Linked DNA regions of Lonchura striata. Each later gene encodes a partner of the first gene's protein in a complex. Links are inferred from orthologs where the notes say so. Each region holds a gene or a part of one and is shown in the gene's direction. Other genes may lie near its edges.

Region 1 (14,541 bases):
TCTGCTGGCCCAGGGCTTCTCAGCAGCAAAATTAGAGGTGCTGGGGTTGGGATGAAACCACTTCTGCTTATCAAAGAGCAAGAAAGAGACAACTCGCAGAGCTGTGCTCTCTGCCCTAAGTGCTGCAGGAGGATTGGGGAGTGTCTGAAATCCCTGTGGTGTGCTTCCCACATACCTGGGATTCTCCGTGTTTTACAATCTCAGATAAATTGGATGGTTTTTTTAGGATTATTTGATATATTGCAGTAATCTCACCATGCTCATCACCACGCTCTAGGTCCAGAAGCTGGGTTTTTTTTCTGTGTTTTTGCTTCTATCCCTTGAAAATTTCTATTTCCAACAAGCCGACTGTTATCTCACTTTTGGTATTTTAAGTTCTGTGGCACAAAAAGGCTGACTCACAGAAAGCCATGTTGTAGGAAATATTGGCTCAACTGAGGAAATAATTCTCAGTTCATTCTTCCACTATGAGATTTGGGGTTGTTTGTTTTTTATTTGGTTGGTTTTTGTTGTTGTTGTTGAGGTGGTTTTTTTTTTGTGTGTGTGTGTGTTTTTCTTTTTTTTTCTTTTTTTTTTTTTTTGTGTATGTGAGTGTTTTGGTCTCATGGTATGGCACACATCAAGCGCTGTGAAATATTGACAGCTATTCCTAAATGCACTGCTCTACCCAGTGTGATCTTTCTTTTTGCACATACCCTGAAGTGTTTTATGTACCTGCTAGGAACGTTACACAGGATGCTCGCACAGGTCATAAAATTTGGTCTCGTATTGGAAATGTTTTGTGGGAATGTGCTGCTTAATCTACTGCAGCCGCTCACAGTTACTGTCACAGAGAGGGGGTGAAGATTACAGCCAGCTTGGGGAAGTTTGATACCTTATCAGAAATCCTCAAGAATAAAACTGAAAGAAGTGGGTGTTCAATAAAATGTAGATAATTGACTGAAAAAAGGGGAAATACGGTGAAGTCATCCTTTTGGCTGGATTTAATGCTGCTGTCAGTTCCCTGTGAGTACCTGCAGTCACCCTCTGCTAAGGGATTGAGTGGAATAAATCCTGGGTGTGCTTTAATTGAGTGTTAAGCACATCAGTGATGTGCAGTGAAAGACAAGGCTGGAGATCCAGGATGGAATCCTTGCCCAGCGGGGCGGGGAAACAAAAACAACCCAACAACTACAAAACCTCTATTGACTTCAAGGGCTTTAATCACTGGAGCAAGTTGTCTAATAACAACATACTGCAGGGTGTGCTTTGGCACTGCCACCTTCATCATTCATTTTATGCTTAATATGCTAGAAAACAATGTTTAACATCTGGTATAAGTGGATATAGCATATCTGTCTACAAGGAAGCAGCTGATGCAAATAATTTAAGAAATAAAAACAGGGGACTTCAAGTGTACCTATTAATATTTTTTCTACACTTTTTTGACACTATCATTAGCAAAACCTAATTAGAAGGTGTTTTTCAACAACTGCTGTCCTCAAGGCATAATGTATGGCCCTCACATAAATAATATTATCATCTTAAAAATACTTCATAAACACTAATTTACTCTCCCAAATTTCTTGTGAGATAGATAATTATGTGTTAACAATGATATAATCACCATTAGTAGCTGTGTTAGTCCTCTCTTTTTATAGATGGAAGCTCATGCCCTGATAATAAACAGTTTGCTGAAGGCCACATGAAGAGTCTTCAGGTCTCTGATTGGGGAAGGAATCAGTCCTGGCTCTGTCCTCCCCTCACATAAAAAACAGAACAATGTTGGTATAATGAAAGAAAAGCAGGTTTTAAATATGGGCAAGAAAGAGAAATTTTCTTCAGGTTGGCTGGATTATTGGACTGAGAGGAAATATTAAAGAAGTATGTGACAGAGATCAAGGTAAATAACAAATATTATACCTTTTGTACTTGTGCCTTTATTTACTCTGCAGTAATTACACCAAGTAATGTAGATTACATTATGAATCACTATGACGCTTACAAGACTGAATTTTTTGCAACCACATCCTGAGCCTGTGAGATAATCTGTTTGATCTCCTACGAGGACCAGATACGTCTTGCTTGAAACTTCAGAAGCATGCCAGAGCAGCTGGGACACACCCTTTTTCGTAACTGTGTTAAAATAAAACAAGTTTGGATTTGCTCAGCCACTGTAGGATGTAACATCTGAGTTACATGCTCGCTGTGAAGTGACTTTTGCCATAACCTCAGAGTTAACAGGGCCTCTTCTGCATTTCTGTCTGAGAAGCAACACTTTCTTTCCATCTTAAAAAATGTGCATATTTACATACGCAAAAAAAACTCCAAACCCAAAACCAAAAAAAACTTGCAACAAGAAAAAAAACCCAATCCTTAGCAAATTATTAAAGCCAAAACACAAATTTGTTCCCATGCCTGTAACAACCCCAGTTCACACTGAAGCTACAGTGCTGCACCTGCAATAACTAAACCCCCTGAGGTCAGTGTGTGTCACTTCCCAGAGTGAGGTCTGTACCAGATCTGTCCAGGCTGTTCACTCATTTTTCTCCTCTTCTTGTGTGAAACCTCCACCAGTCCTCCTGGGGCTGGATTGTGGATAGTGAGGGATGACATTCAGCTTTTATTTTGTCCACCCTCTTGTACAGGAACCACAGTGGGAGCTCAGGTGGGCAGGGACATTCTCTGCCACAAATAACAGCCCCTCCATGGGCAAGAAGCCCTGGGACTGCAGGTTTTCCTCTCCAAAAAAAAAAAAAAAAGGATCATGTGGCCCAGTAGAAGTCAAGGAGCAGGAATCTGGTGCAGGGTGCTTGAAGGAGCTCTGGCAGTGGGCATCTCTTATTTTCATTTAAAAACCCGTTCCTCTGGCACTGATCTGGAAGCTCTCCTTGGTGTGACACGTTCACACACACATCTGTGCTTCTCTTACAGCCTTCAGGGAATGATGGGCCACTGGGTGGGAAGTTGGCAGCAATTAAAGTGAGGCCAGGCTGTTGGTAGGCATCCCCATCTTGCAGCAGTCCTGACCTTGCTCATCTGTACTATTTTTTAGGATCCTGTGGTAGATTTTGAAAGTAGTAACGTGTCCAGCAGCTGTGTCCAGCAGAAGCTCCGTGCTCCAGGGAGGTGCTGAACAGTTCACATGCATGAACACCGAGTGAGAGCTGAACATGAGCACCGTAACTTCTATCCTGAAACTTCTGAAGGAAACACTTCATGGCTTTGGATCACACAGCTCAGCAACTGCCTGTGAATGAGGGACTGTTCACCTGGTCATGCTCTTGCTCTGCTCTTGCTGTTTATTCTGGGAAGCAGAAGCCTCCCCAATCGATCTGGAAAGTGTATCAACGAGATGATTGTTTTTGGATTGACTCCTCCCTGGCTCATGGAGCCCTACAGGGTTATCTCTGTGCGTATGCTTTAAGGCAACTAATGAAACTAGTGGTACTGCTATGTTGCTCATCAGTGTTGGACATTTTTAACCATATATGATCAATAAATGATGAATCACCAATGAATTTATGTTAAGGTGGGGCAGAAGATGCTCCCTGCTCAGGAACATGTCATCTCCTTGCAAAGAGTCATTGTCAGCAGCCTCAAAAGGAATAGAACCACTGTCTTCCAACCGTGAACCTCTGTTTCCTTTCTCAGTATGCACAATACAAATAAAAATAATTTAGAGGGTTTTTTTTTTCCTTAATGTTGACATCTCTCTCGAATTGAGGGGGAAAGAAAAGGTCTTAAGAATATGAAGGTCTCTGGGCCGAACTGCTCAGTGCTTCCGACTCAGAGGAAGTCTTGGTGGAATTGCTAGGGTGTGGGAGTACCTACTCATTAGGATTAAAGTGCCCTTGTGGTTTTCATTAATCCACTTTGGGATGCAAAGTGACAACAGCATCTTTGTGGGGGATCCATCCGTGTGGGGAGCCTGGTCCCCCCTCTGCCCTGCCAAACCCAGAGCTGCCCCGTGGGAGCCTGGTGGCTCTCCTGTTTAAATCGACAGGGTTTAAGTCCCGCTGGTTTAAATATCAGGTTTAACTGGGGCTTGCCTGCATATCAAAGGCACTATGGTAATTTTTATGAGGGAAAGTGCGGAGGGAAAGTGTTTGCCTGGTGCTGTCCAGGCTCCTCCCTGCTCCCTGCTCAGCGCGGTGCTGAGTCACTGCCCTTCCTCACCAGGAGCCTGCACCCTCCTGGTGCTGTGTTTGTGCAGGATGGGCTCAGCACCCCAGCCTGGGGGAGCCCCTGCAGAAACAAGAGCTAAAAATGAACAAAAAGCCTTCCTGATTCGCTGGTATTTATTTACGTGCTGCCGTGCGTGGTGGGCTCCACTCTGGCACCTGGATTGTGTGTGGACTGGGCTTGAACTTTTCTGGAGCCAGCCATCTGCTTCCTGCTGGTGTGTTGGTGCCTCGCTGCGCCTTCAGTCTCGCTCCAATCTGCACAAGATTTATGGATGGATATTATATAGATTTAACACAATAGCATGGGTTTTATTATTTGCTGGAAAATGTTAATAAACCCCAAGTATTACAGATGCATTTTAATCCCTGAAGTGATTTTTGAGTAGAATGCATGAATTATTAATTGTTGTTATTGTTATTATTGCAGTGCATACCTACCTCACAGGGCATTGTGAGGATTAATTAATTCTTGTAAAGATGTAAAAGGCCGTATAGGTGTCAAGGGTTATGACTAAAGTGCTTTGAAAATGGAAACCACTCTGCAAGTGCCAAGTATTATTATTTATGGAGTCCAGGCAGTGTGCTTGGTGCTGTGCAAACACTGGGCCAGTTATTGCAAATATTTGCTTATATGTGCTTGGTAGGCCGAGCACTCCCTGTTACAAGTCATTTCAACTATTTTAAGGATGCGTCTTAAAAATATGGGCATGAGAAGACTTTCCAGTCATTGGGATGATGGATCCACTGGCTGCGAGCAGCTGTGTCACTGAAGAACTTCAGAAAGCGTGCTTTTATTCAAACACACAAGTGAACCGAGACCTCGGATCTGCTCCAGTTATACATCTGAAAGTTAGGGTTTTGTCCAATCTTTCTTGCTGCTTTGGGAAGTGTAACAAGAGTTATTGTTTAGAAGTGGCTCTCCCAGAGGGCAAAGCCAACTCCCTGAGCTCAGCTCGCTCACTGAACAATCTGCTGTAAACCACAACCTGCTCAACTGCCCCGTGTTGCCCAACATCCGTTCTTGGAAACCTCTGAAAGGGAGAGCCTCCTTCCCATACGCTCTGGAAGTGTCCCCTGTAGCCCTGAATCCAGCTGCACATTTGGGCAAGAGAACTGCAAAGGCTAAAGCTCATAACAGACAGTGAGAGGCGTTTGTGCAGTCCTGCGGGGTGTTTGCCTTCGTGAAACAAGGGAAACCAGAACAAAACAGATGAGGGATGACTATTAAAAGCACAAATCCACCAGAATTCACTTTGTAGATTCTGCAGAACAGAACTTCTCGGGAAATTGCCCAGTTGAGCACATCACCATGTTAAAAAAGAGAGCCTGGCACCCCAGAGCCGCGACCGAACATTTGGAGAACACCAGACCACGGAAACCTTCAGCCAGATGACTTCAGCTCAGCACGTTGTCGCTGCTCGGCAGATGGATGGGAAGACAGTGTTTGTAGTTCCTGAGGGCCAAACAACGCACACTTCAGGGATTTTCCCTCCCCCGTTTCTCACACAAGCTTTCTGAATGTCACACCTCTCATTCCCATTTCATGGACTTCTCAGATATCCTTCTCTAGGCCCCTGCTGTCCCCCAGTCCCCCAGAAGAATTCCCTTTCCTCTTGCCTTAGGCTATGTGCATATTCCCATTTCCCTTCCTCCACACACTGTTACTGCTTATCTTCTTTCACCTGGGAAATAAATCAGAGTATCAGAAGGTCCAACTCCATTAGAAGCACGGACAGATCTAAGATTATAATGTGTGAATGTGTTAATGAGTGCATTGCCACTTTTCCTTTCCCTCTTAAATTTCTTGACTTTCAGCAAATTTTGGAGCTAGACTGGATATAGTGTTCAAAACTATTGCCTCTTTACATACCTGAAGCAGACAGCCTCCACACCATTAGTGAGAAGAGAAAGTTGCTCACTTGGGACACCAAAGTCATTACACAAATAAATGCTGGACACCAAGATTTGCAATTACAAATGTGCTTCCTGGCTTCCTAGAGAGATTTATGTTTCTCTACATGACTTTGGCCTGTATTTAAATATTTTTCTTCAGAAAGGAAGGAAAAACGCATGGGTTTGACCCTGAAGAAAATGAGTACTATAAGAGGATTCTACACCCAGAGACCTACCCAAAGCTTTGTGGAGTGGATGGACTCCATCTGCTTGTGTAATGATGCTCAGGTAGGCAAAATCTGCCTATGGTATATCCCAGGTGTTAGACTGAAGGTAAAATCCAGAACTGGTGCCTTAGGACTAGCATAATTCTCTGGCAATGGTCTATTCACAAAAAAAAAAAAAAGAAAAAAAAAAAAAAAAGAAGACGAAAGAAAAAAGACACTACATTCATGACCAGCTCTTTATGCAGTGCCAGCTGCAGCGAAATCAAGCTCTGAAATTGAGTGTGGTGATGTGGAGATGTGGACACCCTGTTTGAGCAGCACCAGAGCTGGGCTGGCGTGTGTGGAGCTGGGATAACATCGGATGTTTCCATCGGATCTGTGCAGGGTTTGTGGTCACTGGGACTCTGCACGGGTGCCAATGTCCGGACATGAGAGTGCTGGACCGTCGCCCAAGAGCGTGAAATGCTCTTGCAAAACCATTTTAAGATGGAAAGGGCTGCCTGGTGACGAATGTGGTTTTGATTAACAAAGCTCGCTTTCAAAAACAAACAATGCGGCCCTATAGATGACAAACAGCATTTCAATTGTAAAAATGAGCAGCACCCAGGTAGGCCATTGCGTTAGTGCTGCGGAGGATTATTTTCATGAAAGGAGAGGGCAGAGGCGGTAGCGCGGTGCCCACACGGGGCTGGACCCCGGTGCCAGGTGCCATCGCCAACCGCGACGGGCCGCGAGAGGCAAAACCACCATGTTACATCCTGCATTTACATAAGCCCTGTCGGCAGCGCAGTTTAACGTCTTTCCCAGAAAAAGCTCCGCGGCCTGGGCCCGCCGTGCCCGGCCGCCTCCCTCCGCACGGCCGGGGAAGGCGGCGGCCCGCGGGCTCCCGTCCGAGCCCCGCGCCGGGCTCCTGCGGCCGGCCCGGCCGCTCCTCCTCGCCTGGCCTCGCCTCCCGAGGCTCGCCGCTTCCCTTCCTCCTTCCTTCCCTCCCTTCCCTCCCTTCCCTTCCCTCCGCCGGCGCCCATTTCGGCGCGGCCGGGCACCCGGAGTGTCTGCGGGCCGCCGGCTGCTCCGCGCCGCTTGGCTCCTTCCCCCAGTAACAGCTCCCACATTCCGCCCCGATCCCTCCTCAATCTCAATCACACACACACATATTACTTTTTTTTTTTTTTTTCCCCTCCTTCCTCGGGACTTAATCTCCAGTCCCCCCCCACCCGCCCTCCCCACCCTCCCCTCCCCCGGCCCCTGGCTCGGATATAATTGAATATCACAGCGCTACGCGCTGGGTATTTTTTTTCCTTCCTCCTCCTGTGTGTGTGTGGTGGTTTTGTTGGTTTTTTTTTTCCTGGTGTTTTTTTTTTTCTCCTCCTCCTCCTCTCGGTGTGGACACCTTAAAAATACATATATATATGTGTGTGTATATATATAAATATAATCGATAACTATACGCGTGTACACACACACACGCTCACACTGGCAGGGATGTGCGCGTATATACACGCGGCGGTATAAAACACACGGGAGGAGGAGAGACAATCCAGGGTGAATTCCTCGTGCCTCCGTTCCCTGGGAAAGGGGGAGCAGCCGCTCGCAAGGTAAGAACCGGGGGGCTCCGAGCCCCGGGGGCGGGCAGGGGCCGGGGATGGGGTGGGGGCGGCCGCCCTGTTTGTGTCCGTGCGGGCGGGAGGGGGACGGGGCTCCTCTGGACCCCCCGTTGTTATTAGTATGTGTATATATACATGCATAGATAGATATGCAGACACATTTATGTATATATACACATATTCACCCCTCCCCCACCCCGCGCCGCTGGCTTCCCCTCCCCCACCCGCCTTCATTTTTTTTTAAAAAAAAAAAGAAGAAAAGGTTTAATGGAGCGGGGGATGGGGGGGACACCGGCCTCGGCAGCGAATGGCACACGGGAGCCATGGCGAGAGGCCTATTTTTAGCCCGATTTGTGGGGAAGAGCGGCTTCCCCTCCCCCCCTTCCCGCATATTTACTTGGGGGGAGGGGAAGGGGGGAGGGCCCGGTCGGGATGGGGGAGGGGAGGCCCTTCCCCTCCCCCGCTCCCCGGAGTTCTCCCCCATCCCGACTCCCCGTTGCTGGGGAGGGGATACACCCCCACCCCCGGGCCATTCCCGATGTTCACCCCCCCAGAGCCAAGTTATTGATCAGTTTTCCGGCGGAATTCGGGCTGGAACATGCGGTGCCCCGCGGTGGCAGGGAGCGGGCCCGCTTCGGGGCATAAAATAAGCTTTTATTCTCCCATTTCACAGCGTCTCTCCTTGCCAGGGCTTATCCCCGTCCGAAACCCTGGTGTAAATTGTGTCTTGCATCAGTTAGAGGGGCTCGCACGGTTGATGCAGTGTGTACTGTTTTATTGGTGGAGGATTTAAGTCCTGAAATATGTGGCTTGTTATTGTTGTACCCTCGAAAGGGTTAAAATTTATCGTGTTGTTCCAGGTGAATTTAATCTTTCATCACCGAATTTCCTTTTAAGGCAGCTTGACAGAATAAAAGTCTCTCCCTCGCTTGTCTTTATCCCCAGAACAGCAAAACTTTGTCTGTGCTTTATGGCAGGGGCTGGTTGCTGCAGATGACACGTGAGTCTGGAGGAAAGTTTGGTTTGTAGGTCGCTGTGTAGGAAAGTGAAGTTTGCTGGTGAAGTTTTTACTACTCTCCAGTGTGCTCGACTTCCTCGTTTTCCTGTCTGTGTAAATCAAATTCCTAACTGATTTATGGGGGAGGGGATCACAAAACATATTCCTTCCTTATTGTTAAGGCATGGGAGGCATGATCAGGAGAAACAGGTCTTTGTTGCATAAAAAAAAGAGTTTTGTAGGCTTGTCTGACTTGCTTTGCTCTCCTTCTGTGCTAAAATAAATGTCTGAGCACGTTGTGTGCTTTAAAAAGGTTCTTTACTGTTGATGGTCTCTGCCCTTTGGGTGTTGTGCGTTGTGCTCCTTTAGCATCAAGGGCACCATATGCAAAGTTGGTATTTGGGGTTTGGTTGTACCTGGGCTTTGGGGCAGTTTCCAGCCTTCTTCCTGCTCTGAGTAACCTGAAGGCTTGTCCACGTGAGGCTCACATTGTATTTGGGGCCTTCCTTTGGACATGTGTGTTAAAGGGCTTTTTGGAATATGTTCCAAATGAGGACTGGACTGCAAGCTCCCGTGTGTGTCCTTAAATTTAAGTGAGTGGGTATGTGCTTGTGGATGAGCTCTGAAGGGGTTTTTGTCCTTATCCATTGGAAAAAGGGGCTGGGATGGTGCTTAGGCCACAGGTGGTGCCCTGTAATTGATTGAAACAAACTTTCTGTGGTTTTCTCTAGTGTTTTTTCCCCCTTTGGTTTTGTTTAAGGTTTAATGGAATGATAACATTTTGTATTATTTACCTAAGGTCACCTGAGCCACTGCACTGTTGCTATCTTAAGGTTTCTTGGGGGAAGTTGGATTTTTCTCCATGAGAACTGTGTTTTCTGGTACTCTATCTTGGGAGCTTGGTGGCCTGCCTCCCAAACTGTTATTGGGAACACCTGGAGAGCACTTAGCTCTCATTCCTTGAGGAAAAGAGAAGGAAATGTAATTTAAATGTATGAGAAGGGTTGGGGTTTGGCTTTTGGGCTTTATAATTTATTTTTAAGACTTTGCAAGAGTGTATAGTTTTTGTTTGTTTGAACATGCACAGCCAGAATGTGTGTTTGTAGCATAAAGAACACAATAATTACAGAAGATTCTGTTGCTTAAGCTTTTTTTCCTCTTTCAAACAGGTAGTTAAAACTTTTTTTCTTGTGAGTTTCTTTTTAAATATGAATACTTCTTTCAGTTTTACTCTATATATGGTAATTATTGATGTTTGTGTAATGCTTTGAAGTTGTAAGGCAGGGTATAAGCGCTAAGTACCCAACAGCAATACTTCATAGTCATTTTCCCATCATGAAAGAGTTTGATCCTTAAAAGTGCTAGAGCCCTAGGCATAAAGAGGCTCTGGACGGATTAGGGGAAATGGCCAAAATTGCTGATAATGTTGTTTTAAGTTAGGAAGAACAGATCTGAATAACGTAAAGCAAACTGAGTTATTTTACCTAACTTCATTTTGGTCTGGAATTTAATAGAATGTGGACTTCACATTTGAGTCAGAATGTGTTTGCTGTTATAAGTTTTGTAGTGGCAGTAAAGACCCACATCCTACAAGGATGTAATCGTGCAGAAGTCAGGAAGTCTTGTAAAACACACAGCTTTGTGAACATCAGTGGTCTCGTTCAGCTGAATGAGCTCTGCAGCTCTCTGTGAAGTTGCTCCCAGGAGTTGGGTGTGTTTTGTGTTAGTGGTGGGCAGTAAGATGTGAATCTTTCATTACACCGATGCTATTTTGACAGAACAGCACTGTCAAGTGTTTTGGGAAGGCTGAGGCAGTGGCAGGTGTGGCACCTTTTCATCACTAATTCCTCTGCTGGTTGGGAGCCCCGGGTGACAGTCACCCCTCCAGCTTTTGCTTGCTTTGCCTGTCTCTTCTGTCCCCTGGTCCCACAGCTGCTGAAGATGGTGGTGCCTGTGTGAATTCTGACACCTTGCTGGCGAGGACACTGCTGGCAGGCGGAGGAGAGGCAGACACAAGTCTCCCGCCAGCTCTTCCCCTTCCCAGCTGGGACAGGGTGGTGGTGAAGTGGTCTGGTCTGTGCTTTGGAGAGGAGGGCAAGGACAGGGTGTGCTGCAGGTCGGTGTTGTGTCAGTACTGCAATATTGTGATACTGAGATGTATCGTACCCAAGTGTGACTCATTCATAATCTAATTCACGTTGTTTTTATTGAGTGGTGTGATTTTGGTCGGTGTGCTGACCATCCTCGCTGGGTGTGTGTTTGCACATGCCTGCACGCAGAGTTCAGAGTGTAATGATGACTGTATTTAGTGCCCTAAACATCAGCTCATACAAGTAGCTGCAGGTTGGGGGGAGAAGTGAAAGTGTGTGTGTGCACACTCTGTAATTAGGCATGTTTGGCTCCTGCAAAAAGTAGCTGCTCTGAGAATATACTCATTGCATGCTCATTTTTAAATACTAATTTAAGTGTTTGTGTTAGGTGAAGAAGTGTCAGGAGCTTCCCATTAGGAACTATGATTGACAGCTCTTCTCTCTTTTTGAGTTGCATTGCTGCATTAATGTAGTAGTTTCAAATTAACAGGTGATAAAAAACCATTTCTATGTTTCTGCTATTGATTTAGCTACCCCCGTCCCAAATGTGCTCAGTTTTTTAAGTGCTGAAGTATGAAGTTAGATGGTCTTAATTTCTGTAAAGTCACATAATGACGACTGACTTTACTAGAAAAAGGTTCAAGTGATCCCGAGCAGAGTAGATGGAGACTGCTTTATTCATTTCATAATTGGTTTCTTCCGAGATAAAGTGTGACAGTGAAATGAGGAATAAGGAATATCTTTTGATATGAAATTGTAGGGGAATATATTGGCTTTCCTCTAATTTTGCAAAATTGAATTAGCTAACTGGAGGTAAGAAGCAGTGAAAATGAGGCAGCGTAGCTTTCACTTTTGGAGAGCTGATAGCTTGAGTGAAAAGGTTTGGAAGTCTGGTCTGGAATTTGCCAATTTGTATGAAAACTGGCACACTTCTTAGGGTTCCGTCTTGTGGTATCTAATTCAAGATGAGAAGGCCCTTTGGCTCCTTCTCATAATGAAAACAAGGTTGCACTTGTTTATACAAAATGCCCTAGAGTGTTAGTGGCCTTGTTTGAGCTCAGGTTAAGTGTTTATTTGGTTCAGGAGGATCTACAGAACCATAAGTCACCTTACACTCTGAAACATTTGTCTTTAATACCTTACCACTTACCTTTCTGTGGCATCCTTTAGACTTAACTTTTTATATTGATAAGGAGCCTTAAAAATAATTCTGCCTTGATAAGAAGTAAGTGGTCATTCCAACCTGGAGGTTGTGTAATTGTAGGGGAAAATGTACGCACTGGTTGGGTGTGTAGGATTTGCTGGCTTGGCTAACCAAGGAGTGAAATTGCTGGTGTTGCAGCTCACACCTGCTCGCTTGCTTCTTGGATGGGCTGATTGCAGGGAAGACTTCTGAGTGTATTTCCTTACCTGTAGAAATAGTGATCACAAAGTCTGGTGAATTGGCACAGCTTTCTGAAGAACTCATTTAAAGAAGCTCCCAAGTGATGAGGGGGAGTGTTATGGAATTGTCTTGGCCAATATATGCAACATCTTTCAGAGAGTCTCAGTTTACTTTGGATATAATTGTGCATGGCCGAACTCAGTGCTAAGTGGAGATGCTGAGGTCCTTTGGAATATGCTAGCTAGGATGTCAGAAGCAGCATCCCTAGGTATGCTCTCGGCCTAATACACCATTTTTTGAGGATGAATAATGCAGGCAGATTGGGTGTCAGCCTGGCTGTGTGGTTCAGTGCCTGCCCATGGCCCTTCCTGGTGTCCTCTGCATCCTGCTTGCCTCAGGAGCTGGAGGTATGGTGGCAGTGGGGATCTGGTCCCTGAATAAGTGCTGTAGTTGTGCTTGGTGCAAGCATGACTCCTCTTAAGAAGAGTATAAGCTGGCATCTGCATCTCTAAAGTAAGATATTAATAGTCTTATTTTCAAAGATGCTGAGTCCCCGCAGTTGCATGTGAAGTTGGCAGTCTCTGTGTGTGCTTAGCATTTCTAAAAATCAACTCTTGTGTGGTTTGCAGGCTTCTGCAAACTCCCGTGAGGGTGTAGTTTCTGTTCCTGGGAGCAGTATTAGTAAAAGGCTATGTTGTGTGCTCTGACTTGTGTTTATTGTTGTAATTCTGAAGTCTCCATGTTGCAGAGGAGCAATCTTGCTTACTAGTAATGTCTAGCAGTAAAAAATCAGAATCATCCAGAGAAAACAGTTGTGTGGGTTTTCTTGTTTTATGATCTGAGGCTGTGTTCAGTGTCAGTGTGTTACAGACACTCTACAACCATGTGCCATATGCAGACACGCTGGGTGGCATTTGGGATCACTCGAGGTGCTGGAAGTTTGAGCTGGTGGGGTGTGAGTAGCAGAGCTTCCCTTCCCCTTCAGTGGGGCAAGAAATAGTTTTGCCAGCCTGGCAGGGCAGGTGGGCAGCTGTAGTAATGCTGTAGTAATGTTGGTGCTCCTTTTAACCCGTTGTGGGTTTGGGGAATGATTCAGTCTCTTCTCTGGCTGCACACAGAGTTCCCCCTCAGCCCCACTGATGTCAGGCTGATGGTAGATTTTTTTGAATTGGGACTGTGAAAGTGGAAACTTTGCTCTGTGCACAGCTACGTGCCTGTTGGTGGCAACCAGAGAGCTGCAGAAAAGATCTCTGTGCTGCCTATTCCTGGAGTATTTTTCCAAGGTTATGAGTTAAGGGTCAAATATTTACTGTTTGTGAAAATGCAGTGCTAAATGCTGTGCCCAGTGCCAAAACCACAGAAATTGTCTAGGTCTAGAGCCCTAAATAGAACCCATCCGTAAAGTTGCATCCATTTGACATTAACAATGTTAAAAGTTCAGGCTCTTCACATGGGTGACCTATCACCAGCAAATTGAGCGGGGAGTTATGTATGGTGAGCACATGTGAGGCAGATTTGAATCCCCTGATGGTTCCCTAAAAGTACCAGGCAAAGAGGAGACAGTTTGATTTCCTGGAATAAGTTGCCCAGGCTGGCCAAGGAGTGGAATAACAAGTTTCATAGCTGTTTAGTGGTTTTTGGACAGACTGATTCATGCTCGAGTGTCAGCATGACTTCTGAAAATACAATTTTGCTTTGTAAAAACAGTACTAAAAAGATGTCATTATTTTTCACTTATTACTGATATTGGTCTAACTTGCAATCCTCTTGGACAAATGAGCATTTTTGCCATTAATTTCAGCAGTCGAGAGAGGAGCTTACCTTAAAATACCGATTGATCTTAAGAGAGATGAGTTGAGTCTGACCCTCCCCCTCTGCTTCCTGGTCTCTCTAGCTCACAGTAAGCATGAGAACTTTTCCTCTTTTAGGTTATGTCTAAATTTGTGGGGAAAAAATAGTTTTGATATTGCATAGACCTATGGGGGAAATAACAAGAGATCTGGGTCAAAAAAGTAGGACGTGCAAGATTTAGAAGCTGTTGAAGTGTATTTATTTGTCCTATATTAGTTTAAAGGAAGTATTGGTGCTCTCAGTTTGGCACAGTTTGGCAACGTGTCCTTCAGTCTACGGTGTGCTGTAAAGGGAAGACAACTGCTAAACAATGAATCACCACTAATTTT
Region 2 (15,204 bases), on another chromosome or scaffold:
TACTGCAGTGCTGTGTGCCCAACATCATCTTTCATTCCAGGATGGCCTGGACCTTCAGTTACTTATAACTTTATCCACTCAAATATGCTTCAACCCTCCAGGTAATTTTCCGCTATGCTCTTGCGATTTTTAAATACAATGAAGAGGAAATCCTAAGAATTCATGACAGTGTGGAGATCTACCAGTATCTACGCTTCTTCACAAGGTTGATCACGGATGGCAGGTAGGACTCAGTTGTAGACAAGCTTTCATTGTGTACTTGTACTTGCTTGCCTGTTGGGTCCATTTAACAGGAATTGCGACTAGTTTATTAAGAGAAACACAAATGCATTGATAGGTTTGTGGGACATAGATCCATTTGTCTCTTTTTGACTTTCCCTTCATGACATTACTTAAAATCTTTTTGTCTCAAGCAAAGGCATGCTACAGCAGAGCAAGCCACAATGTCTGGGTTAGTCTTGTAGTAGCTGGTACTTGTGCTAGTGATTGCTGGGTTTCTCTCAGCTGTAGTTGGGGTGTTTGGGAACACAACACAATCCATGATCTTGAATGGCAACATATCTCTGAGATGAAGGTTTCTGTGATCAGAAAAGCTCAACATCAGGAATATTCCTTCCTGACAAGCCATCAGAATTGGCATCTGATCCATTATCTCCTAAATGATGGCTGCACACTGATACCTTAAAAGGTGGGATGGTACATGTGTATATGAAGTACTGCTTGGGTTGGTGTTTGTGTGGGAAAGAATTCCTTTAATTCTTGGCTGTTTGGTGACTTAGCTCAGAGAGCTGAAGTCTGTGGTCCTGCTCTTTAATACCCCGGAATGCTCTTGGTGTATCTGTTACAATGTGTTACCAGCCAGTAAATAAGTTGACCACAGCTGTCCTTTCTATTGTAGGAAGCTGATGAACATTGCCTTCAATGACTTAAACCCCTTCCCCATGAAACTGCTGAGGAACCGTCGGTCAATGCACAGAGAAGAGCTGGAGGCAGAGCTGCGTGAACTTGAACAGATCAAGGCAGCCTATGTGAAAGAGAGAGCAGAGCAGGGACCTCAGGACTTGGAGGAGGTAGTTAGTGAAGAGGAAGAAGAGAGCTAACAAAAAGAGAGTTCATCATCACTTCCCTCCCATACTGCAGAAGATCATCTGTAGCAACTGTCAGTGAGAAATGGACCACAGGAGGAAGCGTGGTCACAGGAGCTCATGTACCCCAATAAGCAAGGCTGTATGGGACCATTTTGGAGACCAAGTCAGATTTATAATGGATTGGAAGGTGTCAGGGGAGTTTAATCCTCTTCTATATTTCTCCCCATTTAGCCCATCCTGTCCTGTGCAGTTCAGGATTACAGCTGAGGGTGCAGAAGAAATATCAGTTGTGGTGTCATGACAGGAACTAACATGATGCAAAAGACCAAGCAGGGCTTTTATTCATTTTTGGATGGAAGCTTGAATGAGGTCTTTACTACAAGTAAAATGTCCAGAGATAACGAACCAAGAACACTCCCTTGTTACCTAAAGCTTCAGAACTGGTCAGGAAAAAACTTCTCTTAAACAGCATGGTGCCTTCATTGTCTAGCCTGCCAGGAGAGTGTGTTTTTAACATTGTTACTGATCAAGACACTGTCTCCAGATGAGTGTTGGGTCTGTGGAGGTTCTGAAAGCTGGAGGACATCAGCCCATGGGATGCAGGCTGGGACCAGGAAACAGATCGTGGGAGAGTAGAGTTCTTCCTGTAGGAAGTTCATGGGAGCACAAGGTGTCTTCTGCTTTGCTGGGAAATATTGTGAGCTTTCTCTCCTCATGTTTAGCTTTTAGGCCCTGGTATCACTCTATGCTGGTGAGTTTGCTCCATGGAGGAACTCTAATCTCTGTATGAAACCAGCCTTCCTGTAGGCAGGGCCAAGTGTTATGTGGACTTTTACTGGGGATGACTGGATTTTCTGATAGTCTCACTCCTGGCCATCTCCTGCCCCATGGTTACAGTCCTCCTGTGCTGGGTTTTCACATTGATATCCCTGTCTCTGAGTTCCATTCATTATGAGAGGGACAAAGGTTTTTCTATAGGAGTTTATGATATTGAAGGTGTTTTGTCCATGGCATATGGCTGGTAGTGAACCTGAAAACCCTGGGAACAAGGTCACAAAAGATGACTTGATATTCTTTAGAAAAAAACATTAATGTCCCTTGAACCAAGGAGCTGGCCTCCATGGGTCTAGCACACAGAGATACCCTATCTGCCTCTGGAAATGGGGTCTGACAGCCTTCTGCCCTGCCTCCAGGCTCACCCATCCCCTGCCTGTGCAGCTCAGCTCTCCACTGACCCAGGATGAGTCAACTGTTTAGATAAATACAACTTATTTTTCCTTAACATGATGCCAGATCCTGCTGCCTCACTTTCCTGCTGAGTGGTGTATTACTCCAGGTGTACCTGCAGTGCTGGCACAGATAGCATGCAGCAGACACTGCTGTAAGGGGCGGGGGCTCTATGTTTTTAGACTGACCTTGAACCCAAATGGCTTATGCTTTCTTTAACTATCTAGTGGTTAATAACCCAGCCCTTCAAGTTGTCAGTACTTGTAGAGAGGAAGGAAAGGGAGGAATTCATAGCCCACAGTGTTCTCAGCCCCTTTCTTCTTGGGCTGTAGCCAAGATGACAGACTCTAGTGGAATTGTTGTCTATTCACCTGAGATACATGGTCTGCCTCACTGGACAAATCAGCAACTTTCAATGCCTTATAGAAGACTGAGATGGGAGAGACCTGTGGAGGTCAACCACATGGCAGAGAAGTAATCAAAGTGGAAGTGAAATTTTTGGGACGAGTGGACAGGTCCCCTGAAGGTCACTGAGAGCTGCACACATTAAAAGTCTGGGATGAGAAGGAAATGTTACTGGAAGCCTGCTACAGTATCTCAAAGAAAAAAATAAGCTCATTTAAAAAGTATGCCATCTAGAGAAGTCTAAAAGGCAGAAGGTTTTTCTTCACATATTATACTGCTAATCTGTTTATAGACGTATGTTCATGAGTGCACACAGAATTTAGCCATTGTTACAGACATTATCTTCTAAATCAAGACCATGAAAATTAGATGTTTACTTACAATTTTGTTTCCTAGAGCTTTCTGCAACAGATTAAGAATCTTTCCTCCTGATTTGCCCTTATGTTTAATAATAAAGGCATTTGAAACATGTATTATTAGACTAAACCACAGCCTGACTATGATCTGTGTGATACATAAAGTCATCTGACATAGACCTAAAGATCAAGATACTGATCCTGATGGAGAATTCTGAAAATAATTTTAAAATTAAATTGGAAGGGAAGGACATGTGAGGGTTGTTTTAAAGTTTCTTTTCTTTTGTGTCTTACTCAGCTCTTGGTTTTAGTCCAAATATATTTGCTGAGGACTATCTTCTCTGGTCCTATTGATAACCAGTTGTGGTCATTCTTTATTAAACTGTGGTGGATGTAGGAATGTCTGCAAAGCCTATAAAGACCTGCACCTTGGAGCCAAGCTGACATGTCCTCATGGGCTCTCATCTACTTTCCTTCTGCTTCATAAACTTCAGTAGTACTGAAAAGCACTGAACTCAGGTCACAAAATTGCAGTTGGGCCAGACACAAATACCTCAAGCCCCTGCAAGACCTTCAGTGACTATCAGTCAATGCCATGGGTGTTTTGAATCTCTTGGTTACCTCTGCATGAAGTGCTCAGGAATGATTTGTGCTGCCACTGCCAACTGTTGTGGCTGGGAAACAGTTTGACCTAGTCATGCAGCCCAGCAGCTCCTTCTGCCTGTGCTGGCACCTGTGCATAAAACAGGTGTCTTTCTACCTAGAACCAGACTTTGCTGAGCTTTGCTGTATGTGTAACATTATTTGTGAAATTAAGCTTTCTATCTCTGAATTAACCTAAATCTTGGCATACCAGCTCCAACCCTAAAAAGGAGGGTTTTGATTTCCACACCCACCCTCCTCCCTATGATATGCCATTAACTTGTAAGTTCACTTTGTTGCAGGATCTTGTGGCCACCAAAAATTCATGGGGTTTGAGAGGATGAATTGGTGGAGTGGTGCCAAACACACATAAAGCCACTGCTGGCTAAATAATTCCCTGAGCTGCCAATAGAAGAGTCTGTAAAGCTTCCCTTTTTGGCCTGGATCTATACCTTCATATGCTGCAGCTAAGCCCTGTATTCTGGTGTGCTGCCAGAGTGGCAAGAGGCATGACTGGGGAGGTTGTTTCTGGGTTAATGTTTAGCCTAAGCTTGAGCATCTCGCCCAGGGTGAAGGTGAGAGCTAAGGGGCAAGGCATTTTTCCATGGGAGGATAGCAACAACACGCTGTAGCAGGAACTATACCACAGTGCTGAGGTTTCTTTTCCAGTCTGCAGGCTGGGCAACTTCCTGCCATCATCACAGACACAAGACCTTGGGCTTGCTCTCTTCCCATTTAAGAGCTCACTTGTGGCCTGAGATGATGCTGAGATTTCTCCAGCCATCTTCCAGTGCTAAGAGCTCCTTTACAAAATATTAGCTCTGGTTGGTCTATGGACATGCCAAGTGCAAGAAGACAAACCACTTTCCCATGGCCAAGCCAGTGCTGCAGCAGATATAATGCCATGCAAGATATTTTAACTTCTTTCCTAGAGTTCAGTCAGAGACTGGAGATGCTAAATCATGAGATTATCCATGTGCTTTCTGTTCAACCTCAGGAGCTCTCCCGAGGGGAAAACAGCACAGTGGTTGGTCAGTGGAAGAGAAGGTATTGCTAACCATGACACGTTTGGGGTGAGAGGTACCATACTCTGCTGCAGCTAGATGTTTGCTTTGGTCACATGGTCCACTACCTTTGAGATGAAGTCCTTATTTCTCCTTGTTATTAAATGACTGCTTCCTCTGAAGTACAAAGTCTGTCTTTGAGACTCCAGCTCTTGGATCAGTATCTGCTCTGGCTTTGAGCTTAATTTTTATGACACAGAACCTCTGGCACATTCTGGTGTCAAGCTGTTGGAAGCTTGGAGACTTGAAGCAATATCCAGGGTAAGCAGAATTAAATTTCAAGCCCCCTTGTAATACCAAAATTGTCCAGATTAAAACTTTCTAACACAGTTTTGAGTATTAGAAAGCAGCTTTCTTTATCACAGTGTTCTGGTCACTCAGAGAATTCTTCTTCTAAGTAAGTATGCCCTGGGCATTGGGTAAATGCTCAAAACTGAGTTTTTAATCATACACGCTGATGACACACTCGTTGGCTATCCCTGCTTACTTGATGTATGTGTGTTTATTTTACATAGTTGCACCCCTTATTGGATGTCCCTAAGCTCTTCAGGGTTTGTCTTCAATGTCCAGTATCCTCTTTAGGTGGCTGTTCCTCAACCCTCATTTTGAGTAAGTGCAATATTGTTGCTTTGCATAACTTCAGCTTTGTCAGCCTTGCAAAGCTAAGCTGGCATCTTATGTTTTGCATGAGTTTTTTTGTCTACTCCTCCAAGACTACATTGTTCCCTTTATTTAATAAGAGTAAAATGTTCTGGTCTACCGTCCTTATCATTTGGGAAAAAATAGTATTCAGCCCAACATTACAATTCCATGCTGAAAATAGCGCCTATATGTTCTTCTTTTACAAAATCATTTTGTTAATAGAAAAGTATTGTCTATGGGCAGCAATTTTGCAGGGAGGAAAAGTACCAAAACAAAATTAAAACCAATTTATATTTTTGCTGCATCTTCTAATAACATTTATCAACATCATAAAAACTCTTGCACCTTGATGGGAAATGCCAATGCCACAAACTCTGAAAAGGCTTCCAGTTTTGCTCTAACATTGCAATGGTGCTTTAAATCAGTCCCAAGCTGGGTGTTGTGCCCTCCATGCCCACCTGCAGCTGCGTACATGTGGCACAGTTAGTGATAGTGTGCTGCATGGGGCTGGAAATAATTACAGGAGGAAAAATAGGAACCAGTGAAGTTTATTTAAAGATTAAGCTAATTGGTCATAACTAATTAGCAGCTTCCTGCATGTGTCCATGCGGAACTACCAGAGACACGTCAGGACCCTTGTCCTCTGCAAGCAGGGATAAGTCAGAGTTTAGTGTTTGCTGCAGTGTCTCCAACTTCTGCTGCTGGATCTCAACAGAAAGCACAAACATGATGGCTGCTGGAGGCCCTTTACACAGCATAAGGGTTGTATGGGAGTACTCTTTCCCAGAAGCCACTTCTGTGGACACAGGCTGTCACCAGGGTCGCTCAGCCAGACTGTTGCTGCTGGATGACCAGTTGAGATATCTCAGGGAACACAACAGAGATAGCATTCACTCCAATCACCAAGGACACCCCAGTCTCAGCCACCCAGTTTAAGACTGCAAAGGGGACTGGGGAGTCCCAAACCATTCACTTTGTCAGCACCTAAAACAGCTCTCATGAATGGCATTTGCACATGTATAGCATAGCCAGATGCCTACAGTGGGCAGAGCTGTAGGTAGAAGAAATCTTTCCCCCCAAAGACCTTAAACAAATCTGTCTTTTTCTCCCTGTCAATCCTGCATGCAATTTTCTACAGCTTACTCAGGGCTGTAGCACAACATGTGTTAAAGGAAGCACTGGAAATCCTCTGTGTATCAGTACCTGACCTCTCAGTCTTGTACAACTCTATATAGGCAACATGTGAGCACACACTGCGAGGATCCTGAGGGCTACCAGAAGTCATCTCAATTCTCATAGGCAGGGCAGGCCTAGGACAGCTGCTGCACTAGCATCCACAATTCATGTCCGCAGAAATTCCTTCCTGTGCTCCATCCATGCACATTGCTTCTCAACAGTTGTCTGGTGTGGGACTCAGATTTAGTCAAAGAAAGAAAATGAGAGTTTCTAGCCTGGGAAAAAGCTGAAGAAAAATGTAAATAATTCTTTATCTCTCTTGTTTTTCACATTATTTATAGTTAAGTTCTATCACTGTATGTCAAGCACTTTGCATCAATGCTGTGGGTTGTTTTCACTTCAGAACCAATGGAGTTAGTCCTCACGAAGCTCTGTATAAAAGAGCAGTATATTTTGAATAAATCGGAGTTTTACTTTCAGCAACCTTCTAATCTAGTCAGAGTCTCTTCATTCCCATCCTTCCTCAACAGCAACAGTCTGGTGGTGTATCTGCTGAAGTGCCTCAGTCCCCTGGAATGTCCCAGGCTAGCACCTGGTGGCAAAGGATAAAGATCACTCTTAGTCGTTGCTGGTTCGTTCTGAAATCCTGCTCTGCACCCTTGAAGAATTCAGTGTATCTGGTCTTTTCACAGGCATAATTTTTCTTCTCCACAAGAACTTGAGATGTCCTGACAGGCATGCTAATGACATAATCACACATGCAATCTCCTCTTTTACTTGAGTTGGGGACTGTAGTGAGGAAGTGGTCACTGGGTTGGTGGTCATGATCTCCCCTTGATTGAATTACCTTTCAGCTAAGGACATACTTCCTGCTGCTCTCTCTTGGCATTGTCAGCAGTTCTTACTGTTCCAGTGATTTCAATCCTGCTATGTTGCCTGCTGTTGCTTTGTTTGAGAGTGTTTGAGACATTTTTTTGGAAGCGTTCATGAGGCCTTTACCCCTTCTGTCTTTGTCTACATCTGCTAAGGTTGATATACAGCTTCTTGATAAATAGTACTGTGCCTTGAGGAGTTAGTAATTGGCAACAGCATCCACGCTGTTGTTTGGGCATGTTTGCTTTTCTTTCTGTTCCCTTACGCTGATCTGCAGCATCTCACTTGTGAAGGACATTGAGTCTCAGTCTTGTCACAGCTCCTAGCTCAGCCCAGAGCTGCCTCTGCTAGCCAGTGAGTGATGGCAATAAGGTATATAGATGAGCTACCTGTCTCAGACCCTGATTAATCAGACAGGACCAGAGCAGTGTTAGCTGAGGAGGTGACCTGGCCAAAGAAACCTCCTCTGCTATTTAATCTTGGTTGCTGCTGTCTGCTTACTAAGTTCCTCATTCAGGGCACTGAGGAGGTTTGCAGTGCTGCCAAGCTACTAGCTGACCCCAAAGTCTGAGTGTGAGCTCTGTGAGAAGCTTCCTAAACCCATATGCCATCAGTAAAGGGCCTACAGCTTTGGGGCAGTGTCTCTCCATCTGCCAGGGACTGCCGAGACAGCCAGAGGCTGCCAGCTAAGCCTGTCACATTAAGGCTGTTGCAGGGGTGTGTGCGGTGTTCAGAATGAGCGGTACCTGGTGGGACACTGAGGAAATGGCACAGAGCGCTCAAAAGCTCTCTGAGCTTATTAATGCAAGGTCTGTGGTACTCGTTGCAAGTGACGGCAACGTTCTGGTGCCGGCAGGTCCATCTCGTAGGAGAATCACGCAACCACTTTTCACCTCCGGGCCTCCGGGCACATGGTCGGGGATCCACCTGCAGCGGTGATGGTGACGGCGAATGGCGCATGTCGGCCCGGGTGGGATGGCTCTAGGAGCCCAGGGTAGCGGAGAGACACTTGAGCACCTTGCTGTGTTTGCGGAGGGGCTCTCTCCTGCCATGGCACCAGGACAAACCCTCGCTGGCCACGGGAGGTTGCGCCCAGGGGCCGGGCACAGCCGCGGAGCTGATGGCCCCGGGCAGGCTCCTCGGAGCTCCACGGGGCAAGCGACAGCGCCCGGTGCCCGCCGGCACCTCCCGGCCGCGGGGCGCGGCGCGGGGGCGGGCCGGGGCGCGGCGCGGGGGCGGGCCGGGGCGGGGACGGCGGGCGGGCCGGGCCGGGCTGGCGCGGCGCGGCTCCCGTGCGCACGTCCAGAGCCCCGTCGCCAGCGGCAAGGTACGAGAGCGCGGGCAGCGGTGCGGGGCGTGGGGCCGGGACACGCGCGGGCAGGGCCGGCTCGGGCACCTGTCGCAGCCGGGGCCCGCGGAGCCCGGCGGTGCCGGGGAGCGGGGCGGGGAAGCTGCTCTGCCCGCTTCGCGCCGGGGGTGCCGCAGCTCCCTCCGGCCCCACCCCGCTTTGTGCGGAGCTGGGGCCGTCGCCGCGGCCGCCGGGGCACGGCCGGCCGGAGGATGCCTTGGCCGCCCGGTGCCCGGGCCTCGGGCATCCCCCGCGCCTGCGGGGGGAGCGGGGCGTTCCCGCTGGCCGCGGTCCGGGCAGCCGATGCTGGTCGCGCCCTCGGCGGGCAAGAGTCTCTCGCTCGCCGGTAGCGCCAGGGCTATTCCTGCAGGAATCTGCCGGCGGGATTTTCTGCGCGGGGTGTGGCGGACTGGCAGCTGGCCCGCGGTGAGAGCCCTCCGACCCGGGGTCTGCAGGCGGAGTTGCGTGGAGCAACAGGGCTTCTTGTCAACCCGAGCCATCCTGCTGCCTAGTCGGGAAGGCTGCGTCTCCTGTCAGCCCTGCTGGTTAGTGCCGCCGGTGGCACGATTTCCCATCTGAATAACTTCGCTTATATAGAAGCCTCACCTATGGCTGTGTGTGCGACGGGTTAAATTTGGCCTTTTTTGCTGGAGTTGTGGGGAATTCGGGTGCTTGATGTCAGGGTAGGTTACATCTTGCACAGAGCGTGATGACAGCCACTTCAGTGTCTCTCTGGCACCGGGATCCCCTGGTAACACTTCCCCCTGAAGGAGGAACTGGCACCCTGAATATTTTTAGGCAACACAGCTTTGAAGACTGCTTCTTCCGTGGGTCTGGCTTTGATGCCGCAGCTCTGTCAAAGGTCAAGACAGGCTGATGCAAAGGAATGTGTAACAGACAGCACTTTGCAGACCGACGGCCCGGTGATGCCAGCTATGTGCACTGGCCTCACCGGGCCAGTGAACACTTTGCAGGGAGTGGTGCTCTCCTTGTAGTGCTCTGGAGCATCCTGTCTGTTCCTGATTCCCACGCCACCCTGCCCCAGCCCTTTTCATTTATACTTTCTAAGAAGACACTGTGCTGCAGTCCTTGTAAAGGGTACTTACCTGGACAGGCTTAACGTCTTTTGGCCCCTTGGATGCTCAAGGGAAGTGATTTCTGCAGAGGATTTAGGGAACATTTGGGAGAAGGCTGACTGATGGTTGCCTTTAAGCTTCTCCAGTGCAGGCTTCCCAGTGGATTAACAAAGGAGCAGCCTGTGTAGCCCTGCCGTTCCCTTTGTTCTTCCTCTGGCTGGTTGTGCCCTCTTTGGAGAGCTCTAATCTCTCCTGGTTTGATCAGAGATAGGGAGTGACTGATGGAGACACAATGGAGTTCATGTTTTGGTTGTGAGCATTTCAGGAAGCTCTAGAGCTTTTGGAGGCAGAATAGGGAAGAGCTGGTTGCTTTTTAGAGACAGGAAAAATATAGGTGTTTTTATCTGTGCTGCTATTGTTTGGTGAATTAGCATTATGACATCTATTATTATAGCTTCGATGAGCTGTATTTCAGATTCATACAATCTGTTACTCTGTAGCAACGAATCACAGCCCATTATCTCAGTAGAGTTGCCTTAGACTGGAAACTTGAGACCCAGGTACTGGTGATGTTTGGACAAACAACCAGACAATTCTGCTTCCTGCACTCCCAACTCTGCCCTAATCTCCTCCTGGTCCCTCTTCCTCTGAGGCAAAGCACCTAAGCATGACTTTGCCTATTTTGCAAGTCCAGGGGTAAGGGAAACCACTGTGCCCTGTGTGGCAGCTGCGCCTGCCTGACCAGCAGCACTGATCACCTCCATTCCATTGATCCAACTGGCTCCTGGCTGTGTCTGTGCAGGAGGTGGATTTCCTGGTAGAGTTCAGAGTATCTCTGCATGTTGTATATTTCTCATTCTCCTTTTCGTCCTGGGTAATTTCTGCTTGTCTTTGAAGTATGTTGGTTTGTCCCTTCTGAGAAAATTTCTCACTCTGCAAATGCCAGTAATGGATAATATTTTCATGTTTCTGTGTCTGCTCCATTTGTTAGTAGCTGGATAATGAGTGGATTTTCTGTTGCCTAGGTCTGTGAGTCTCTTTCTAGGTGGGTTGGCACCGGGCAGGCTGCTGACTCTGGAACAGGTTTATGGTGCCTCTGCAAGGGCAATTCTCTCTTGCCTGTGGGCTGTCTGGACTACCGGATACCTAAATGTGATGTGAGCTGTGTTTTGGGGATGAATAGTTGAGTACAGAGGAGGTCCCTGTGCTGTAAGCTTCAGGTGCCCAAGCACTCACTGTTAAAGAGGCTTAGGGAGAGAACTGAAAGTTTTGGTAAATCCCAGAAAAAAGGTGATGCTTTGAGTGGGAGACAGTTGCCTTGAGGCAGGCTAAGCTAGATTGTATGCATGACCTTGCAGGCTACTCATAAATTGTGGTCAGTTTGCTGCCTCTGACTTTTTAGTATTCCTTGATCCACAGTGGCTGCATAGCATGAAGTCTTCATGCTACCTTATTAGGTCCTGAGTTCCCCAGCAGGGATTTTGATAGGAAAACTGTTGGGGAATAGGATGTGACAGAGTATGACAGAGACTCTGTGAAGAAACATTGTGGAGGGAAAGTGTCTCAGATCATTTCCCCACCATCCATTCTTGCCCGGTTCAAGGGGACTCAGCCGGTCCCTGACAGCCACACCCTGTTCTCCGTTCTCATAGGAAAGTTTGTTTGAAGTGTTTGCTTCAACAAAAAAGCCCCACAGAATGCCAGCACCTTATCTGAATGTTCCTGACTCCCAGTTATAAACACCAGTGATTTTACAGTTGGCCAGTGGGCTGTCTGGGTGGCTGCTGGACCTTGCTACTAAACTGCTACTCAGAGCCAAGGGCATCCCTGGTTAGGCTGGACAGCAGCTGTGCTTTGAAAGAATTGTTTCTGGCCATCTCTTGATGTGCAGCAGGAGCACAGACAGTCTGGTCTCTTGCTCCTGTGGCAAGAAGGCACCAGAGTGATGGTGTGGTGAGCTGTTTCACACGTAGTCATTACATGGCTTCCTGTAAGTGCATGTTTTTAAGCTGCTCTGGCTGCAGTGCTGACTGAGGCAAGCCTGCAGCACACTGCAATTATGCTGACGCTCCTCCTGCCTCTCCTGAGGAGAAACAGGAAAGACCTTTACATCATCGACGCGGCTGTATTGGCTGAGAGATTTTGATACTCGTAGGGTTATACTGGCTTGTAAGTAGAAGCTAGACTGGCCTAATATTTCCAGGGATTTCCCCTCTGTGGTATTACAGGCTTGCCAGCAATTCCTCATTTTGAAAATACACCCTGCAGGGCTCTATTAGTGCAATGCTGATGCTTATTATTTCTAAAGCACTTTGGAATTCAAAAATAGGACTTTCTGACCCTCAGCCAAGCAAAACCCTTTCTAAAGCTTGGAGACATACCACTGCCAAGAGTAGGACCAATGATAGTGTGCAGCTCCAAGCCCTGTTCTCTCTTCCCTTGTTGACCTATTCCCTGCTCTGCTTCACTCAGTTTCAAATTTTCTGGAGCAGTGCCCAAAGTTTGGTGTCTCTCTCACTCTTTCTTCTGAGCATCCTTCAGGGCTCTGATTTATTGAAGAGTTTTCTTCCAGTCTGGTGAATAACCTGCTCTTTATCTCTGTGCCAAGAAACATGGACCTACCTGCAGAGAGTGCAGATGACTGCACTGCCTCTCTCCCTCTGTGGGACGAAGTCACCTAGGAAAATGATAAGGAAGACAAAGTAGAAGAAAATCCCAGCAGTTGTGGTATTTTATATACCTGAGATTTTATATACCTGAGATTAAGACAAAGTTCATGAAAGTTGATAAGATAGCTTCCAGGAAAGCAGCAGAGGCCAAACTCCATCTTTTTCTTCCTTCTGCAGTTCTGGTAGCTGTGCAGGAGAGGAGGCAATGCTGGGGGAGAGCTCCTCCCAGAAAAAGATGACTGGGCAAGGCTATCCATGTCAGAGTTGCATTAATACAGGAAATAAGAACCTTGTGGCTTGAGCTTGTACATAAAGTTGAGCAGGGACAGTCAGAAAAAAAAAGGTGCAGGGAGTGGCCAAGGCAAATACTGGGTTTACTCCCAAGAGCTGAAATTAATCAGTCCTTGCTCTACAAATACCATGATTTAAGCTTGCCTTCTAGACCATATGTTAAAAGGGCTGAACTCCTCCTTGGTAAAGTCTGAAATTTCTGGATCTCATCTCAGGTTTTCTGGGAATCAATGTAGGATGCATGAGAAGTGCTTGGTGTACAAGTCCCTTTTTCTCAGACGTGGCTCACTCTGTGGGCTGGGATATGGACTGATACAGCAGGCAAAAAAGAACAAAGGTCTGGGAGCAGCAGATCTCTCTCCATACTGTCCTACTCCAGCCTCACCTGGATCTTGCTTAGCCATGGAGTGTTAGCATGTAGGACGTTTGCCAGTCTGCCAAAAGGGCTGTCCCTGAATGCCCCCCAGTGTCACACCATTGATCTGTGCTGAATCCTGTTGCACCACAGCTACTCTGTGCAGTTTTGTTTTCTGAGCTGCAGCAAATTTGACTCTGCCAGTGCTATTCAGCTCTCAGCCACCTTTCACATGGTTACACTGAGGTTATTCAAACCAGTTATTTAACTAGTGTTTCACAGTGTTTTCCCTAACCAAGAACACACAAATCTTGAAAAATACAAACAATATTGCCTTAGAAGAGCATAGCTACCATTTTGCCTGAATTGCTGGCACAGTTGCAGTGCTTGTTTCTAGGAAGCCTAACACTGAGGTTTTTAGGAACACCACCTGTAATGTGAATGATGCCAGGAAAGACCAATCTTCCTTGTCGCCCTTGGTTTCTTCTGTTCTGTCTTCTCCATAAAAGGATCCTGTGTTGGCAACAAAATTGTAGGGTAATAGGCACAGAGAATCCAGACAGCTCTTTAATTGCAAGAGAGAAGTAGAAGTAGTCAACGATTGTCTTGCTAACATCTACTTAAATGTAATTAATTCATATTATTTTTCTCTGCCATTTTCTCTAATTTAATTTGAATACCAAAATGCACATGTAGAGGAACAAAAACAAAATCAGAATAGCATTGCTCTAAGTTCCTGCTCTTGTAATGTTCAGGTTCTTCTACATACAGAGGCTCATTTCCTTGCAGTCAGGGAGGATCACACTCTGTCTTCTGACCCCTCCTGTCTGTGGTCATGGTTGCTTTGCTTTGAATTTGCAAAAGGCTTTATGTCAGTAACTGATGCTCGAGTCTTAATTGAAAAGATTGATTTTGCTAATGATAGTCTGGCATCTGACATGTTCCACAGAAATCAATTGGAATTCAGTGTCTCACAGTTTTAAAAAACATGCCATTTATTTAAAGGGTTAATAGGGATTGAAGGGTTTGACTCCATAGTCCCTTGCATCTATTTGAAGCTCGTGCTCCTACCATACATTAATCTTCTTGTGCAGTAGTTCTGGGTGTGATGCATCCTGCCAGGCAACACTAGTCTTGGAACAGAAAAACCCAACCCCTCTATGAGATTTTATAAGTAAAAGCTCAAGTATAAAGTTGACATTTTTTTTCTTTCTTGGTCTCCAGGTTGTATTTTGGTGAACTCTTGGTTTCTGTGGAATTGAAAAGATCAAAAATTGCTTCTGTCTTTATAGATAATGGATTATTCAGTTGGGCTGACAAACCACAATGAGAGCCAGTAGCTGGAAGCAGAAGTTATTACTTGGCAAGGTAATAAGGCAGTTTTGTTTTTAGTAGCAAAGAGGAGGAATTGTGGGAAGAGCTTCTCAGGATGATGCATAGCTAGAAACTTGAACAGGATGCTCACCTAAATAATGTCACTGAGTGCAAACAGCAGTGTTCTCTGGAGGTAGATAACATCTCTCAGTCTGCCATTAACCAAACAACAGCTACCTGACCTCCTGCAGAAATTTCTTTTGTCCAGCTTGTCACCCCTAAAACATCTCCTCTCACGGAGTAGACCATACTTGTCTCCTCTCCAAGCTCTCAGCATGTTCTGCTGGGCTTTGCCCTTAGGGTCCCAAGGTGGTATTCTTATTCCATAACACAACAATTAACTTCCTCTCTTGAGTTATCTTTTATTGTTGCTGGAGGGATGACAATTTGAAGGCAGGAGTCCTCTAAGCCAGTTTGAACATTGACCGTAAGTGGAGGAAGATTTTATTGTCTGTGTTGACTTGAGATCTGGAGTGGGTGGGGTAGGTAATTCATCCTCATGGAAGAAGAGCACTGTGTAGGACCAGTACCTGCTTTTGTAATTGGTTTGTAATGACTGACTGAGTTCACAATTATCCAGACACGGGCTTAGCAGGATGGTTTTCTTGCCTTTAGTAC

What was found.
Region 2: TBL1XR1 (region 1) and CORO2A share a complex: the UniProt entries of both Homo sapiens proteins name them as parts of the N-Cor repressor complex. The link is inferred for Lonchura striata from reciprocal best matches to the Homo sapiens genes TBL1XR1 and CORO2A.

Annotation. Positions count from the first base shown.
Region 1 is NC_134612.1:20,895,576-20,910,116, forward strand, and holds the start of TBL1XR1 (F-box-like/WD repeat-containing protein TBL1XR1), read left to right. Parts: upstream 1-7,532; 5' UTR 7,533-7,881; intron 7,882-8,832; exon of another isoform or gene 8,833-8,890; intron 8,891-14,541. UniProt on the Homo sapiens protein: F-box-like protein involved in the recruitment of the ubiquitin/19S proteasome complex to nuclear receptor-regulated transcription units. Plays an essential role in transcription activation mediated by nuclear receptors.
Region 2 is NC_134642.1:48,081,197-48,096,400, forward strand, and holds the start of CORO2A (coronin-2A), read left to right. Parts: upstream 1-8,731; 5' UTR 8,732-8,800; intron 8,801-15,204. Other genes in the region: TBC1D2 (TBC1 domain family member 2A), read left to right, coding at 102-223, 899-1,100.